3 linked regions of the Drosophila melanogaster genome follow. The protein of the gene in region 1 interacts with the protein of each later gene in a pairwise test. Each region holds a gene or a part of one and is shown in the gene's direction. Other genes may lie near its edges.

Region 1 (4,322 bases):
ACCATCGAAATTAGTCACAAAATTAGTCAAATGATGTTTTAAAGTTGGCTAAATTGGTATACAAGATGAATACTGGGGTGCAGAAATATACAATAATTTATTTACAATCACAAAGCCCCATGGCTCTATCACGAATATTAATTTTTATTCAACAAGGGTTAATTTAGCGATTTCTTCCACCAGCAGACATGATTATTGTGCCCTTTAAAGCGGCTTTGCAGTCGAGCCCTTTCCGCCGTCACACACGGCAATTAATTAAAATTCAATTAAGAACAAAGCTGACACGTGCGCAGCCACAGCCACATTGCTCAATCATAATTTAAATTTGGCCAGGACGAGATTATCCTGCATAGAGAGCAGGATACCGGAGGCCAGGACAATGTAATGTAATGGCTGCGTGTGCTCCTTGCTAATTGCAAATGAAATACGATTCTCATTAACTTGTCCTGGCTCGTAATTCACTTACTCGAATTTGCCACTTGAAATCGAAGGCCTCTGGATCGGTTGGCATGTTGGTCCTGTTCTGTTGATCTCATTATCACCTTGCGGCATTGTTGAAATATTTGCAAGAGTGTCCAAATACGGCCAACGATTCGTTGATTAACAAATTATGATTTATTAAACGGCCTTATGCAAATGCAACGAATGCAGGATGTGAGAGGTGACAAAGCGGAGGAAGTGCCAGATGAATGATAAACTGATAAAAAAAAAAATGAATTAATTGGCAATTAATTACGGATTCATTAAACGAGTCAAATATCATCGAAATAAAATGTATTTGCGCGCACACTTAAATCGCTCGAATGTCAGTGCCAAAGTATTTCTTTGGCAACATTTTAAAGCCGAGTGTCGGAAGGGCCGGGAAAATTTAATGTGATTTATGTCGGACCGAATTGTATGCATAAATAACGCACTCGAATTATTATTAAATGCGAAGGACAAACTTGTTTTCATAAATATCAAATTACGTACATTGCAGCATATTTTCCCATTAAACAAATACACCAATCGCCAACAGACTGGCCAAATTGCTTTGTCCGCCAAAAACATGTTTTTGTGTTCCACCTGACTTTGTAGCCACTGAAAAGCGAGTGTGTTTGCTGGTTGCATATTGCAGATTGCAAAAACATTTGTAAATGTTTCAGCTTTAGTTTGGTGAGCGAGAGTCAACAGCCAAACAGGATCAAGGACTCTGGTTCTGGCTGTGACTCCGAGTCCTGTTGGATTGGAGTTGGGATATTTGTGTTGCTTTTTTTTATGTTCGCCCACCGTGCAAAACTAACTATTTATTCAACAAATATGCAATAAAATGCATAGTCGGTCTTCACATTTTCCCGCCCATTTCCAGCCCCATTTAACGCAGTTAGAAGCGCATTTTCCGCATTTTCAATTCTCCGGCATTGCATGACAAATTGCATTTGAGGTTTTTCACATGGACATTGATTTAATTACCAAATGAATTTCCTTGCCGGCCAAAAGTCGAATAAGAAGTTTAATTTCCCCCAAGTCTGGCCAGCAATTTGCATATACACTGGCCAAATCCTTTTACGTATCTGTATGTCCGCCTGCCCTCTGCCCGTTTGAGTAATTTCATTATGAGTTTTAAGACTTTTAATTAATTTAAAAAGTGAACAATTTTGCACTCTTTTTCATAACAACTCCGGCCGGAGTCCGCATTGCATTCCGTAGTCCTCAGTAGTCCGGCTTTTGTCTGGCGTAGTCTGGACGAACCGGAAGAGTGGCATAATTTCCGCACCGCCTCGAACTTGATGCAAACATTTCATCTGCATCTGCATTTCGAGTGGTCCGGAGAGCAGGAGCCAGAACAGGAACAGAATCGGAATCGGAATCCGGATCAGGAGCCAAGGCAGGGGCACTGGCAGCATCAACAGCATTCAATTAATTTTCCGTACTTCTGCCATCCACAAAAGCGAAACTTTTGCAGTCCGACATCCGGCATTGTTGCCAACTTGAATGCTTATTTACGGACACAACAGCGCCAGAATCTCCCGGATTATGCCGAACATCATAAAACTTGTATCGACTCGTTAAACTGGCAAATGAAATGAACCCGACAGATGACAAAGCAGCCTCAATTATACGGATATCAAATGGAAATATGCAAAGTTAGTTGTAATATGGGGAATATTTCTTAGTATTAAACTATTGTGAACTATGCTAACGAGTAGTCTGATTAAATTTGAAAATATATTTAGTGAAGTGAGTGAGTTACTTCAAGTATGCCCGGAGCTTTCATTCATTTGCATGTATGGTTGTATTGTAGTAGCAGAACGAACACCTTCTTTGCATCGAAATTTCTCTAATAAGGTAATCGAATAGACGCAAGGATGTCCGCCGAAGTGGAGGAACTATTGAAGCGCTTTCAGTCCATGAAGAACGTCACCGGCATAGTTGTGGTGGACAACGACGGCATTCCGATCAAAACGACCCTGGACTACACTCTGACACTCCACTACGCGGCACTGATGCAAACGGTGCGGGAGAAGGCTCGCCAGGTGGTCCTGGATCTGGACGCCACCAACGAATTCACCTTCCTGCGGCTGCGGACTGAGCAGAATGAGGTGATGCTGTGCCCGCAGGAAGATTACTTCATCATGGTGATCCAGAGCCCGTGCGACTAGAGCACAATATTCCAGGCCCAAGCTCATTCCGCTGGCAATTATTTTCAGGCAGAGTGTTCAGTAAATGTTATTAAAATACTCGGCATAGTCTCGATTTCGCACACCAGCATTTCGTCATTAATAGCATTCAGTTGCAAATTATTTGCATTGGGAATCGCAATTGAATTGGAATGTCACTTGCGTGCGGAGCACTCTTATTCGATATGCATCCTTTGGCCCGCATGCATACATATACGATATGCATGGATCCTTTACCCCACGAAACCCGGCATCCTGTCCGGGCAAACTCATTTACAATAAATGAAGACTGACTGAGGCAGCCACGAAACAAATAAACTTTTTTGCGGCCTCGCCAGGATGCGAGCATGTAGGGATACGGATGCCACGGCCACCGAAGTGGAGGTTCCTCCTCTGGGCTTTGCTATTTTTCATTTAATTAAATATTTTACATGCAAAGTGCATTATGAGCAGTGGGCGAGGCAAAAACCAAGCAGATAACTTGGTAAAGTCACACGGGCGCCTCTCGGGAGGCCAGGACATCGATGCCAATCCATCTATCCACCGGTGCAGGACGAAACTATTCACTCGAGATAACTTCATGAACAGTTGTGGCAGGATATAGAGCACTACTGTCGCAGCCATCAATTCGAGACACCGCAAAAGGGGGGCAGAAAAGTGGATAAGTTATTTTTCACCTCGATCCTAGAGCCTTAACTTCATTAGCCTAATGACTAAATGCACTTTACCATGATCTACATCGATGTAGCTATTTTCTGCAGCTGCTTTTCCTGTTTCCTTACTGTTAGAGATGTTAATTGATTTTTTTTATAAACCTGTTCTTATTTATAGTTGTATTACCTTGGATTGGATCCTAGGATCATGTTTTCTTTATAAAATTTCCTTTTGACAATTGTAAATTAAATCCGAATCAAGCCAGTCGTCTTTCACCTGTCAGCATGTCCGGCGTAATCATATTTCTGTGTCTTCCAATCATTGTTTTCCATTTTCCCGAAAGCATGTGTGTCACTTAACAGCAAACATAACATAGATTGTTGGCTGCACACGTCCATCCCGAAATCCGTAATCCATAAACCGTGAACGTTACTCGTACAACCGATCCAATGATGTCCAGGAAAGGCAATCAACTCCACCCGTCATCAATCCGTCCATCATCGACCACACCGGACTGCAATCAGAAGCGGCGAGGCGACATGACAGCTCCTCCTCCGAACCCAAAGCCAGAGAAAAGCCGCATCATGGAGATGCATGCGATTTTTCTGGGGCACGACACTCGCGGCGACAATAAGATATCCATCCGGCACCTGGGCCACTGTCTGCGTGCGATGGGCGCCACTCCCACGGAGGCGATGGTCAGCAAACATGTCCGCCAGTACGAGGCCTCCACCATGCAGCGCATATGCTTCGATGAGGTCATGGGCATCTACTCCAGTCTTGGCAAGCACGGCGGCATGTTGTCTCCCAAGAAAAAACAGATCGAGGCGGACCAGTTCGTATCCAGTCTAAGGGTCTTTGATACGGATAAGTCCGGTTGGATTCCCGCCATCAGACTCCGGCGCATTCTAACCAAGACCGGGGAGTGCATGGGCAGCATGGAAGTGGACGAGCTGCTCCAGGGTAGGATCAACAAAGACGGCTTGGTCGACTACAAGAAGCTGGTTC
Region 2 (6,897 bases), on another chromosome or scaffold:
TTCGCCATTTCAGTTGGCTTTATTTCTGCGGCTCGCAGCCATTTTGTAAATCATACTTACATGGAAAAATCGGGTTGGAAAATCGGGTTGGGGTGGCGCAACTGTGGGGGGAATTGGTTGATGCTTGTTTATTTGGTGAGTGTTTAATTGGTTTAAATTACACACACCCACAAGCACAGACAGAATTTTCCGCAAAAGTGCAAAACGTGAGAGTGAGAAGGTGTGAAATAAAAATAAAACTCGAATTGCGAGCGCGTGAAATCAACATTTTTAATTGTTTACTTCTCACTGATTACACGTTTAATAACAAAAATAAATAAAATTCATCGAATCGTCCACAACTGCAGGTTTTTATTGCATTTTATTGTTAAATCATTGCTCATTGTCGCCTCTTTTTTATTTGCGGTATTTGCAGAAGGCAGTATTTTTGTTACTTAATTATTGTTTGTTTGACCTGGCCTGCCCCTCGCCCCTCGCCCCTCCATGGCCATGGAGCACTTGATTAAGGTGGGTTTAATTACAATTTCAAATATGTGCACCAAATACTGGGATATTCGCACGCACACACACACACACCTCTGCACTTTGTTTGCGAATTTGCGTGGCAAATAAATTGGTTTCTATATATGTCCTGGTTTTTACATACCCGCTGCCTAAGGATAAGTACACAATGCCGCAGTTCGGACAATTAATTGGTTTATTTACGCATTGTCTTGCTTTTTGCTAGAACATTTAAATGTGCAATAGCACAACGAACTGTTCGGCATTAAATGCAATTTTTGGCAATTAAAGCGAAACGATTTATTTCAAGGGTAAAATAAAATGTGCAAATTGTTGGTCCTGGATGTGGCCAGGAAAAGGGTATGCACTATTCGAGCATTGCATTCGTTAAACTAAATGCTTTTCGATTTCATATTTTCTGACAAATTCCGATGCAAAAATGCAGCATACTCTCGGGCCAGCAATGTAAATTGAGTAAATTAAATATATCAGATGAAACATTCCCCGGGGATCGGATCCCAATCGTGAACTGAAGTGCCCTTGATGGGTGTAAAAGCGATGCGGAAAAATAAAAAGCAAAGTCGTTGAGTAACCACCAATGCCATAAAACCGATCCCATCGCCGTTGACATTCAGTGAGCCACTCAACCCATTAGCAGGCCCAACCCAAAATGCCAAGCCCCAAAAAGCAGTCGAAATCCCCCCGAGCAAATAAATCCCTTGAACATAAAACGCCGGGAGATGGGGTAGCAAATTAAAACTAAATATGAGACTAGAGACGGACCCAAATCGGGCCCGTCCATCATCTAATGTATACGTATCTGTATCTGTGCTTGTATCTGTATCTGTGTGTGTTTGACCTCTCTGGCCGCTGACATAAATTGATAAAGTCGGCCGATTGGCGAGGCGATGCCATGAGTAAACATTTGAGAACCGAGCCGAACTAAAACATTCAAATCGAAATCAAAATCAAAATCGAAAATGAAAACGAAAACGAAAACGAAAACGGAGGCGACAATGCAGCCAGTGTTTATTTATTAAAATCAATTTTTACACAAATTAATAGAGCAGGCGGCGAAGTCGTGGAAGTTGAGTTTACTTTGTCAATTTGCGATTTATATGCGCTGTACGATATTTTATTTCGCTTTTCGGCAACTTATCCTCCATCGAAAATTCAAAAATAAACAAATAAAGCAGCTGTCGCTTTAATGGGGATATATCTACCTACACACACACACACACACACATACAGTGAATATAGCTTAATAATGCCCGACGCGTTGGCCTGATTGTATAATTGCTCGAGCGATTCCCGGTAACGATGACATCACGACGTTGGTGTGGTAGGGGGGAGGGGGGAGGGCGGCGCTTAAAACAGGCTCTGGCAGAGAAAAAACCGAATTACAAAAAAAGCTGATAGCAAAAATTCATTACAACAATGACAGACACTTAATCACTTAATAGAGAAAATCAAAAACGAGAGCAGATCAACCAGGCTTTGTGGCGCTGGTGAAATTTTTGCGGCTAAGCTAGATTTAATTACGGATTTCAAACGGAGATAACGAGCTATTCAAACGAACGGCCTATAAAGTATAGTTTAAGGCTAATCAAATGTATTACAACTAATTTAATTAGTCTATCTACACTTTGGCATTGATCCCTAGCAGATATTTACAATTTATTGAGACTGATTAGGCTTTATAGATAAATATATAAAGAAGTTAATAGCTATATCCATTAGAGTAAGCTTCGAATATTAATCACTTCATTAAAACTGTATTTTAAGTTTTTTCTTATTACGTTTTTTTTTTACTCACACTAAAAAATCTCAACCACTTTAAATGCAATTAATGACAAATCTGTAAAAAGTGATTAACTGGAGAGCTAAGAACACAATATTTCAACCCAAATTGGTGAAGGTTATTTGCTCTGCGATGATTAAAGTTTTCAAAGCTCTCGAAATCAATTGATATTCTTCCATCATCCAGATCATTATCGTTTATCAATATGCGTACTTATGAGTCGCCCCTCGTTTCGCAGCTTGGCTTCGCTTGTTTTTGTTTTTCCACACACATTTCTAATTTTTTTGTTTTTGTTTGCCAAAGTTCTCTATCTCCATCTCTATACCCCTCTGTTCTGTTTGCTCCGATCTTATGTATTTCCAAGCCGAGTTTTATTCTCGCTGCGTTCGCTTTGCCCTCGCTCTTCTTCGCTCCCGCCGCCGCAGCTTCAGCGGTCTCTCGCTCTTCCCTCTTCGTCTTGCCCGGTTTCGTATTCTCAACGAGTTCACTTAAAGTTTGGATCACCTCCGCCGGCGAACAGTTTCAGTTTTACCTTTAATGCGAGCACAACAAGTCAGTGGAGAGTCATTCTAATATTCCGTTGGTTTTTTTTTTTCTGTGATCTGAGTTCTTTGCGCCGTGTGATAATTTATATAGTTTTTATGGCCAGGAACTGGAACTATAACTTCTTTGATATACACGTATAATAATCCGAGATTTGGGCTTCTTAGAATTCCATTTTGTTTGATTCTCTAATGATGTATTTATTTTATATGGTTCAGCTTCTTCTTCATAATTCTTATCTATTAATAGTCTTCTAAGAATATAACGTGCCTAGTTTTTTGAATTCAGAATCACAGAATGTTAAAATAAGTCATTTTTCCATAATAATCAGGCATACAAAATAACCTAAAATCTTAAAATCTCACACATAATGTGGGTTTACTCTGGAACTTTCCAACAGTTAACAGTTTCAATATAAATACATATATTTTCCTATTCACAGCTATGAAGCTCTACGCCCTGTTCTCCCTTCTGGTGGGATCTTTGGCCATTGGTCAGATTTCCGCCGCCGGATCTCATCATCTACTTTGTTACTATGACGGCAACAGTTTTGTCCGCGAGGGTAAGTCCCACTTCTAGTTCGTTCTTGGCTATATAGTTGATAAGAATCGGGGTTATCGGTGGAAGGAAAATGTACATATATTACCCGTACGTATGTACATATACATATGTGTATTTTGAAACCAAGAGATAGAGAGCTGCGCGGACTCAATTCAATTAGATGATTTTCACTTTTCATAGACACATGCTAAAAGCATAAAGCGGTGTACTTTTTTGCGATTCTGATAATTGGCAACGGGTCACAAGATCAGAGGGGAATGTTTTGCAACCAATTTGAGTAAATTGCATATAGAGAGGAAAGCCCACACAAAACGCCAGACTTGAACTAATTGAAATTGGCATCGGGTGTTCGACGATGATGATTCATGACCAGAGGTGCCACCTCCAAGGCGCTAATTGATGATGCAAACCGAGCTTATTTTAGTACACTCGAATTTTCAGCTGCCAGTGGAAGATTCACTGAATATAAAGTGTTGGCAATATTAAACACATGCTTTTTCGGGGACAACAATCAAATTTATTGATTAACTCAACGCTTCCTGTTAACAAAGCATTAGTATAATAAGCTTTTACATTCATGAATATATTTCACAATTTCCTTATTCTAAAATGAACATCAACAGGCCTCTCCAAGCTGATCCTAACCGATCTGGAGCCCGCCCTGCAGTACTGCACCCATCTGGTCTACGGATATGCCGGCATTAATCCCTCGAGCAACAAGCTGGTCAGCAACAATGAGAAATTGGACCTGGATCTGGGCAGCAGCCTGTTCCGCCAGGTGACCGGATTGAAGCGCAAGTACCCAGCCCTCAAGGTCCTGCTTAGCGTGGGTGGCGACAAGGACACCGTGGATCCAGAGAACAACAAGTATCTGACCCTGCTGGAGAGCAGCAATGCCAGGATTCCGTTCATCAACAGTGCTCACTCGCTGGTGAAGACCTACGGTTTCGATGGCCTCGATCTCGGCTGGCAGTTCCCCAAGAATAAGCCAAAGAAGGTGCACGGCAGCATTGGCAAGTTCTGGAAGGGATTCAAGAAGATCTTCAGCGGTGATCATGTCGTCGACGAGAAGGCCGAGGAGCACAAGGAGGCCTTCACCGCCCTGGTTCGCGAACTGAAGAACGCCTTCCGTCCCGATGGCTACATCCTGGGTCTCAGTGTCCTGCCCAATGTGAACTCTTCGCGTGAGTTAACATAAATAATTTCGATTGTATTAGATTTCATTTAGTATGTTTTGTTCGAAAGATTGCCCAGCATATTTATTATATATTCAATATGTTTTTGTTTATCTGGTTTAGTGTTCTTCGATGTGCCCGCTATTATCAATAACTTGGACTACGTGAACCTGCACACCTACGACTTCCAGACCCCCGAGCGCAACAACGAGGTGGCCGACTTCCCGGCACCGATCTACGAGCTGAACGAGCGCAATCCGGAGTTCAATGTCAACTACCAGGTGAAATACTGGACCGGAAACCGTGCTCCGGCCGCTAAGATTAACGTGGGCATTGCCACCTATGGACGTGCCTGGAAATTGACCAAGGATTCGGGACTGACTGGACTTCCACCGGTTGCCGAGGCTGATGGTGTGGCTCCTGCCGGAACCCAGACCCAGATACCCGGACTTCTTAGCTGGCCAGAGGTGTGCGCCAAGCTCCCAAATCCCGCCAATCAGCATCTGAAGGGCGCCGATGGTCCGCTGCGAAAGGTTGGTGATCCGACCAAGCGCTTTGGAAGCTATGCCTACCGCTCCGCCGACGACAGCGGTGAAAACGGAGTCTGGGTGGGCTACGAGGATCCCGATACGGCGGCCATCAAGGCGGAGTATGTTAAGCGCGAGGGTCTCGGCGGCATTGCTGTTGTCGATCTGAGCTTCGATGACTTCCGCGGCGGCTGCACTGGCCACGACAAGTTCCCCATCCTGCGCCAGGTTAAGAGCAAGTTGTAGAGCTCCTCATCCTTCTGATTCTTTTCCCGAACGAAAGAACAACGTGTTTTTATTTGCCCCACTGTTTTTTTTATATGTAATTGACTCAACGCAAACCTGTGTAAACGCGAAATGCAAATTAAATTAATATAACATTGACACCAAAAAAACTTGTCTCTTACTTGTTTCTGAATTTTTGTAGCTTACATATATTTATATAACCAGCCAGCCGAATAACGGGTATCTGATAGTCGATGAACTCGATTTTAGTGTTCCCTCTTGTTTATAATTTGAGTTTCCCACACTTTTCCACATCTGCTTTAAGCCACTCGCTTTAGCTAATTATTTATGCTAATTGTACTCAATTGAATTACATAACATCATTATATAAAGCTATTAACCCATTATGAACCTTTATAAAGTTTACTATCGTCAAATAAATTATGTTAATATGACATCAATCGTGTTGCCGTGCCTTTTATGCCAATTGTTATCGGCCAATTAATTATGTTGATTTTAGTGCACTTTTCGCACTCGCATCGCATTACAGTGAGCACTCGCTGTGCGTGAACCGATGCTCATTGCACATTAACTGTAATTGAGTGCAACAACTTCCAATTACTTTCCCCCGACGGCAAATAAACTGATTAGAAGGCCGGCAAATGAACGCACTCATGTATGCATTGTGCCGCCGCATTGTCCCCGCCTCTGTCCATGTGAAAGAAGTATCCTTCTGCTCCCCCTCTCGTGGTCCTTGTCCTCGTCCCAGCTCTTTTCAATAGCCTAGTGTGGGGCTCCTTTTATGATTCGGACTTTTGTGCCTGGTTCCTTGTGCTGCTGTGACTTCATTTTGCTGCTCCTTCCGGCATTTCGTGTCAGCCTGTGGTCGCCGGCTGATTGTTTTATGTGCGGTGTTTGTGCCCGCTCTGCACGACCCATCAAGCCCTCGGACCACCCACTGCACCACCCACTCACTCTAACGGAAACGGAGCAAAAATCCCCTCCTGCTCCAGCGACTGCCTTCTGAACACAGCAACGGCTTCAACTGCAGTCGTGTAGCAACAGTTTCCATTGCATTGTGGCCAATGGCTCATTCATCTTTGGGCGGTGGTCATGCTGTGACCACTTGAACCATTGCCGCTGACACCCACCAAAAATGGGTGGATGGACTGGGTGTTTGGGTGGTTGGGTGGTTGGGCGTTGCTGCCATGTTGCCTTCGCCTGGATCACTTTATCATTTGCAAAATTGCAAAATGCAACCGCAAAAACCATAACCCGGCGCAGGCAAAGTATATTTTAGAGCCCCAGACTCCAGGACCGAGCATCACGCATACGCACTGTCTGCTCACCGGCCCAACCAGGAAGTGCCACTCCCCCATCCTTATCCGCAGCCCGCCCCCCGAATTCGAGCCAACACTGGGATGCCGTTGATTTAGTTCTCGGTTGCTGAAAAGCGCATTGGATTTTCGGAAAACCGGTGAACACTGAGAGAAAAGTAAAGGAATAAGTGATAACAAGAATAGATGTTAAGTTGCCCACTTGATGAAATGGAGTGAAATAGTTT
Region 3 (5,851 bases), on another chromosome or scaffold:
GGCGTTCCAGCAACTCCAATAATAATTTAAACTATAGAATAAATCGATATAAACAAACAAACTACGAGTATTCCATATGCCCATATCCCTCCCATATCCCATTTCGCCCAAAGATCCTTAAAGGCAAAAGTATAGAATAGAATAGTTGATTGTTTATTGTGTAGATCTATTTGTTTGTCTGCAAACTTATAACTAACAGCTAGTAATGCGTATTATTTATGTCGGTCGATTGTACATATTTCCATTTAGTGTATAGTATATGGTGTATAGTAGTATATATATATATATATATAGCGTCCCTTTGCTCAGTCTGCATGGTGTATCAAGCTCGCTGCAAAATCAACATCAGTTTGGTGTGCGGGAGCGTGTGTTGAGTAAGTCCCACAAGTCCTCGGATTCCCAAAATGTTTGCTATATGTAGAATCGTTCAGCGACGTAGTCCTCCTCCGCCGTAACAACATCATCAGGCTTACAATTGTAATGCAATCATCATACTTTAGGCACCACAAATGATGAGTATTATGAGTGTGCATAATAAATCTGGGATAAGTGTGTGTATTATATATATATATATATATATATACATCGATAAGTGTGTGTGTGTGTGTGTGTGTGTGTCTATGTATATATATATATATATATCTATTGCTTTCTTCCGTTACGTCTGTTGAATGATGAGCTGCAGGAGAAGGAGCAGGGAATCGGTTATGTGACCACAATGCTTGCACTCCGGCAATCGTACTTACATACATATGTTGTCGTTATGTTCGGAGTGTAATGGTACTTTTGCCTAGTGCTCCAGAACGGCATTCTCGTCGTGGGCGGACACCTCATTAACGTTGTTGTTGTCGTTGTCGCTTTCACTGGACTCGGCGGTCAGATCGACAATGCATTCGCCATCGATATGGACGGCCTTAACGTCGGCCGCTTCATCGGTATAAACGCCGGCATGCTTCTCCATCAATTTGGCCAGCTTATCGGAATTGCAGCCAACGAAGAGCTCCAGCACATTGCCGCCCTTGATGAACACAAAAGTGGGCATGCTATTCACATTGTATTCGACCGTAATGTCCTCGTTCTCGTCCACGTTCACCTTGAGTACGACGACACGGTCCGAGTACTGCTGCGCCAGTTCGTCCAGCTTGGGTGCTATTATCTTGCAAGGTCCGCACCAGTCTGCATAAAAATCAATTACCACCAGCTTGTCCTCGGCGAGGATTAGCTGCTGGTCAAGATCGTCCTTGTTCCGCACTGGGTACACCATGACTTTAACTAAATTCCAAACGGATTGCAAATCGAAACGAAACAAAAAAAAAAAAAAATGGGAAGAGAAGAAAGAAAAAAAAAAGGAAAATGTTAGAAAATCTTGTTTTGGGTGTAAAATTCACTTGATTTGTTTTGTTACTTTTGAATTTTAATGGAGCTCTGCCCTCGCCGAGATATCAGCCCGAAATGAAAATTGTAGGGCGGCAGGCGTTCTTTTATACAGTTTTCGCCAAATATTTTGCGGCCTTCTTGGATTGAAAAAAAAGTGTTTTCAAATGTCAGCGGCGCGGTGTGTTGAGGTGAGTTTGGCTTCGAACCTACCACGGCTATGGCAACACTCGAGGAAAATATTAGTACTATGTCGTGTGACGCCATTATTTTGCCATAATTACGATAATAATATTCATATCGATATCGATAGACCTGCCGTGGTGAATAAGTATGTTCCCCACCCCCCAACACACTCGGTTGGCTTTCCCAACGACCTGGCAACCCTAACACGCCCGCCATTTTGCACTCTCCATGGGCCGCCATTTTGTTTAGCGGCCACGCGAGAATTCAGCATGCAAATTGGCGGGAATTCCACTCTACACACCGCCACTTGGAGACCCCTATAAAGTCGCCTACGCAGCCGCCATTTCAATCAGTTCACAATTTGCAGCGAAAGCGCCAACAGCCCCATCACGTCAAGTTCTTTAATTTAAAAAAAAGAAGAAAAACACTTTGCTAATCCTCGCGACATAAAAATGGCATCCGTACGCACCATGAACGACTATCACAAGCGCATCGAGGCGGCCGACGACAAGCTAATCGTGCTGGATTTCTATGCGACATGGTGTGGTCCCTGCAAGGAAATGGAGAGCACCGTCAAATCGCTGGCCAGAAAATACTCCAGCAAGGCGGTGGTGCTCAAGATCGATGTGGACAAATTCGAGGAGCTGACGGAGCGCTACAAGGTGCGCAGCATGCCAACGTTTGTCTTTTTGCGCCAAAATCGACGCTTGGCCTCCTTTGCCGGCGCCGACGAGCACAAGCTGACCAACATGATGGCCAAGCTGGTGAAGGCGTAAGCAGCAATCCTGCCCAGCAATTAGCAATCAGCAGCGCATCTTTTTTTTTTTACTTATTTAACTCATCTTTTAAACATGTTCGCCTCATTTGTGTTCGTTTATGTATTCGATGTTATGTGTATGCTCATGTGATGTTTAGCTTGTAAGCGCGAGATGTGGGTAGCAGGAGATGCAGTGCAGCCAACAGCAGTGACCAGATGATATATGCTATGCTACTACTACTACTTATATGCTATGATTTGTGGCGCGGAGGCGTGTCTGCGACACATAATCCCGCCCATTTAGCTTTAAGATTCAGGCACTAAGAAGCAATTCGATCAATAAATTATTGTAACCACTCTGGACATTTAAATGTTAACATGGAATCAGCTTTGTTTTTTTTTTGCCCACAGCATTTGGATTGTTAACCAAGTAGGCGCTGCGTGGTCATGTCATTTCGGGTTCCAGCAACATTTGGCATTTGCTAACCAAACTTGAGATCACACACACGAAAAACAAAAAATCCCAAACATTCCGCAGCACAAATTCAATCAAATCCAAAACGCACATTTCGGTCGCATCCAAATTGTACGGATTTCGTTAGTAAATAAAAATCAAATTTCGTGTAAATCCAATCCATAATCCGTGGTAGAGTAGAAACCACACCATCATGTCGTATCAGATCAAATCGACGCCCTACTTTCGTCGCATGTTCAACGAGAGCAAGAAGAATGGCCAACTGCAGCGTCTGCGTGATGAGTACGAGCGCATCCAGGAGTTCAACGATCGCACCATCGAAATGAAGATGCGACAGGTGCGATTAAAGCGGCTATTTCGCGAGATCGAGGTAATTAAGGTGGCTGGCGGGGCGGCCGGTGGCGCCAGCGGTGGCGGCACATCGACGGCATCATCGCCATCGAATGTTGACCAATCGTTTGGTTTAGCCGGCGGACGCGTTACCCGCCGGAGACGGCAACAGGCACACGGTGCTATCACGCTGGCTAGCAGCACGCCCCAGCAGCGGATGCACAAACAGCGCATAGAGACGCTGGCACGCGCACGCCAACTGGGCCAGGAGATCTCGCGTCGGAATGGCCTAATGGCCGAGGCCGGCACCGGCGGTTTCCTGCGCAGCGAACTCCGGATGACGGCCAAGCTGCAGGCGGCGAACGATGCACGCCGGGCGGCCGTGGAGCGTCGCGACTTGGCCGCCAAGCGCATCTCCTATGGCAACGATCAGTCGCGACAGAATATCCAACGCATGCTCATCCAACGCCAGCGCAGACATGAACAGCAGCAAGCGTTGGCGGCGACAGTAGCATCACCGGCGGCACCGTCATCCAATTCCTACCAGGTGTCCATAGCGCAGCAGCCGGTCACAAGGTATGTAAATCTTCTAGAGAATTGTGGGGTTATGTTCACCTTTGTTTGTTTTTTTGTTTTGGCCAGCAGGCCCAGGCATGAATACACGGACAATTGCCAACAACAGCAGGAACTGCTGGCGGTGACCAGTGAGCGATCGACGGAGCAGGGCGATCATTTGCAGATGGAATGCGAGGGGCAGTCGTACTCGGAGCAAAGCTTCCATTCGAACGACTGTCTGGCGCAATCGATGGACGAGGATCTGGATGGTGAGGAGGAGCTGGAATACACACGCCATCGGCGTGATGGCGACGCGGATGAGGAGCCGGAGCGGCAGTCCTGCCTGGTGACGCTGAACAAGGAAAGATCCACATTGGCAGCCACATCACCGCTGGATATGCGTCGAGTCAAAAGCTCCATTGATTCGTATCGAAAGACGCACCTATCTCCGCTGGCCAGCGGCAGCAATTGGGTTCGGGTTGTTGGTGGCGCCCAATCGTCCACCATTGGATCGCATCAGCCAAGTGGAACGGTGCCGCCGCCGCTAAACGATGAACTGCAGCTGGATTCGCAGTCCAATTCGAGTAGGTGGCATGAGGTCTCAATGATGCTGTCGTGGTTCGGCGCCGCTTCCGACATCCCAACCGACTATGCCGATGCTCCGCCACCCGAGGTGCCCAGTCACTACGATTGCGATTCCATTAGCAATGCGGACGATATGCCAACGCCAACTGTGTGCCGTCGACAGCGCATGTTCGCCGAGCAGCCGAGTGATGCTGCCACACAGGCGCAGGAGGAGCCCTTCTAGCCAGCCGACGAGCGGCAGACGCACTGCAGCACACATCTATTTTTTTTACTGCAATTCGGTATGGAAATCCAAACCATCCAACCAACCAACCAGGCAAGTCTGCAGCGCCTGCAAAGTTCACTTATTTGGCATGCTACGCTAGTTTTGGCTTAGAATTCCCGGCCCATCCTGTCCAGAAGTTGTGCACGTGCACTTGGCTGGCAACCTTTTCGCATCTTTATTTGGTAATAAAATTATGGGTATGGTATTACATTTCACAAATAATAATAAAAAAAAAAAAAGAAAAAAAAAAACAAACAGCAATTTCATGTTCAAGTTACACTTTTCAAATGATGCAGTTCATCCCTGAGATAAATGATTGGCAAACATGCCAGCTTGATGATTTATGTATGTTCCGTCGTCTGGTTTTGTCCTGTTTTCATCATTCCTGCTCCTGCTTCTGCTTCTGCTCCTGGTTGCCCACTAGAAGTGCGTCATTCATTTTTATTTTGAAATGGATTCAGCGCCTTGGGCACATGGTAATCCCTATGGAACGAATGCGAAATCATCATCATCATCATCATCATCATCATAATCGTGCAGCGGCATAATTAGCGGCTCGACCATCCCAAAAGGCTGCAGTTCGGGCGCATAGCAACAGGACTCCAACTTGATCCGCGACTCGATTAGATCGTTGATGGTGGGCACAAAAGTTTCATCATACGATAGCCGCATAGAGAATATACCCTGAGCGGTATCCAGTTCGCCGACATGGGCATACAATACCCTATTGAATGTCATGCGCTGGAATGCGGTGATACCATTTTTTGGCCACCCATTGGCCAATGGGCGTACGTGCGACATTTTGCCGCGAAATACCAATGGCGGTGTGCGCGCAAAGCTTAGTGGGAGGAATCGTAGATGGTTCGGTGCCAATGTGACAGACAGGGCATGATCCACATACTCTATGTTCACACATTGGGCGTCCAACGGTGCGGTGACGAGCACCATGGCACGTCGCCAGCCACACTCGCTGTAGGCGGCGCATATGTAGCCCTCTTTATAGAAATAGCTAGGCAACTCGGCACGGTAGCTGCTGATCGTCGTATGGCGATAGAACCAGCTATGGGCATTAAATAACAATATTATCAATCAATCAGTCAATCAATCGATTTAGTTAGTAGCTTACTTTAGATCAATGGTCATCTCGGCTACAGGATTCTTGGCGTACTGCGGTGGCACAATGTGGAACCAGAACTCACACGGAGAGAACACCTGCGCAAGAAAAAAAAACAAAAAAAAAAAGATTGAACTCCTATTTCAAAGCTGTCTCTTTGCTTGGCACGGGACCAAAGCGCACTCACACAGCTCATGATGATCGGGAAGA

The links.
Region 2: the proteins of robl22E (region 1) and Idgf4 interact in a two-hybrid assay, tested with the Drosophila melanogaster proteins (one large-scale study listed by BioGRID).
Region 3: the proteins of robl22E (region 1) and CG4198 interact in a two-hybrid assay, tested with the Drosophila melanogaster proteins (one large-scale study listed by BioGRID).

What each region holds. Positions count from the first base shown.
Region 1 is NT_033779.5:2,288,649-2,292,970, reverse strand, and holds robl22E (robl22E), read left to right. Parts: upstream 1-2,232; 5' UTR 2,233-2,267; intron 2,268-2,272; exon of another isoform or gene 2,273-2,328; 5' UTR 2,329-2,348; coding exon 2,349-2,642; 3' UTR 2,643-2,747; downstream 2,748-4,322. Other genes in the region: CG17237 (uncharacterized protein), read left to right, coding at 3,764-4,322.
Region 2 is NC_004354.4:9,926,865-9,933,761, reverse strand, and holds Idgf4 (imaginal disc growth factor 4), read left to right. Parts: upstream 1-2,813; 5' UTR 2,814-2,854; exon of another isoform or gene 2,855-2,881; intron 2,882-3,287; 5' UTR 3,288-3,289; coding exon 3,290-3,407; intron 3,408-4,029; coding exon 4,030-4,590; intron 4,591-4,704; coding exon 4,705-5,354; 3' UTR 5,355-5,789; downstream 5,790-6,897. UniProt on the Drosophila melanogaster protein: Cooperates with insulin-like peptides to stimulate the proliferation, polarization and motility of imaginal disk cells.
Region 3 is NC_004354.4:5,310,448-5,316,298, forward strand, and holds CG4198 (uncharacterized protein), read left to right. Parts: upstream 1-2,810; 5' UTR 2,811-2,985; coding exon 2,986-3,698; intron 3,699-3,764; coding exon 3,765-4,485; 3' UTR 4,486-4,743; downstream 4,744-5,851. Other genes in the region: TrxT (thioredoxin T), read right to left, coding at 791-1,264; dhd (deadhead), read left to right, coding at 2,013-2,336; CG15930 (uncharacterized protein), read right to left, coding at 5,011-5,587, 5,654-5,739, 5,829-5,851.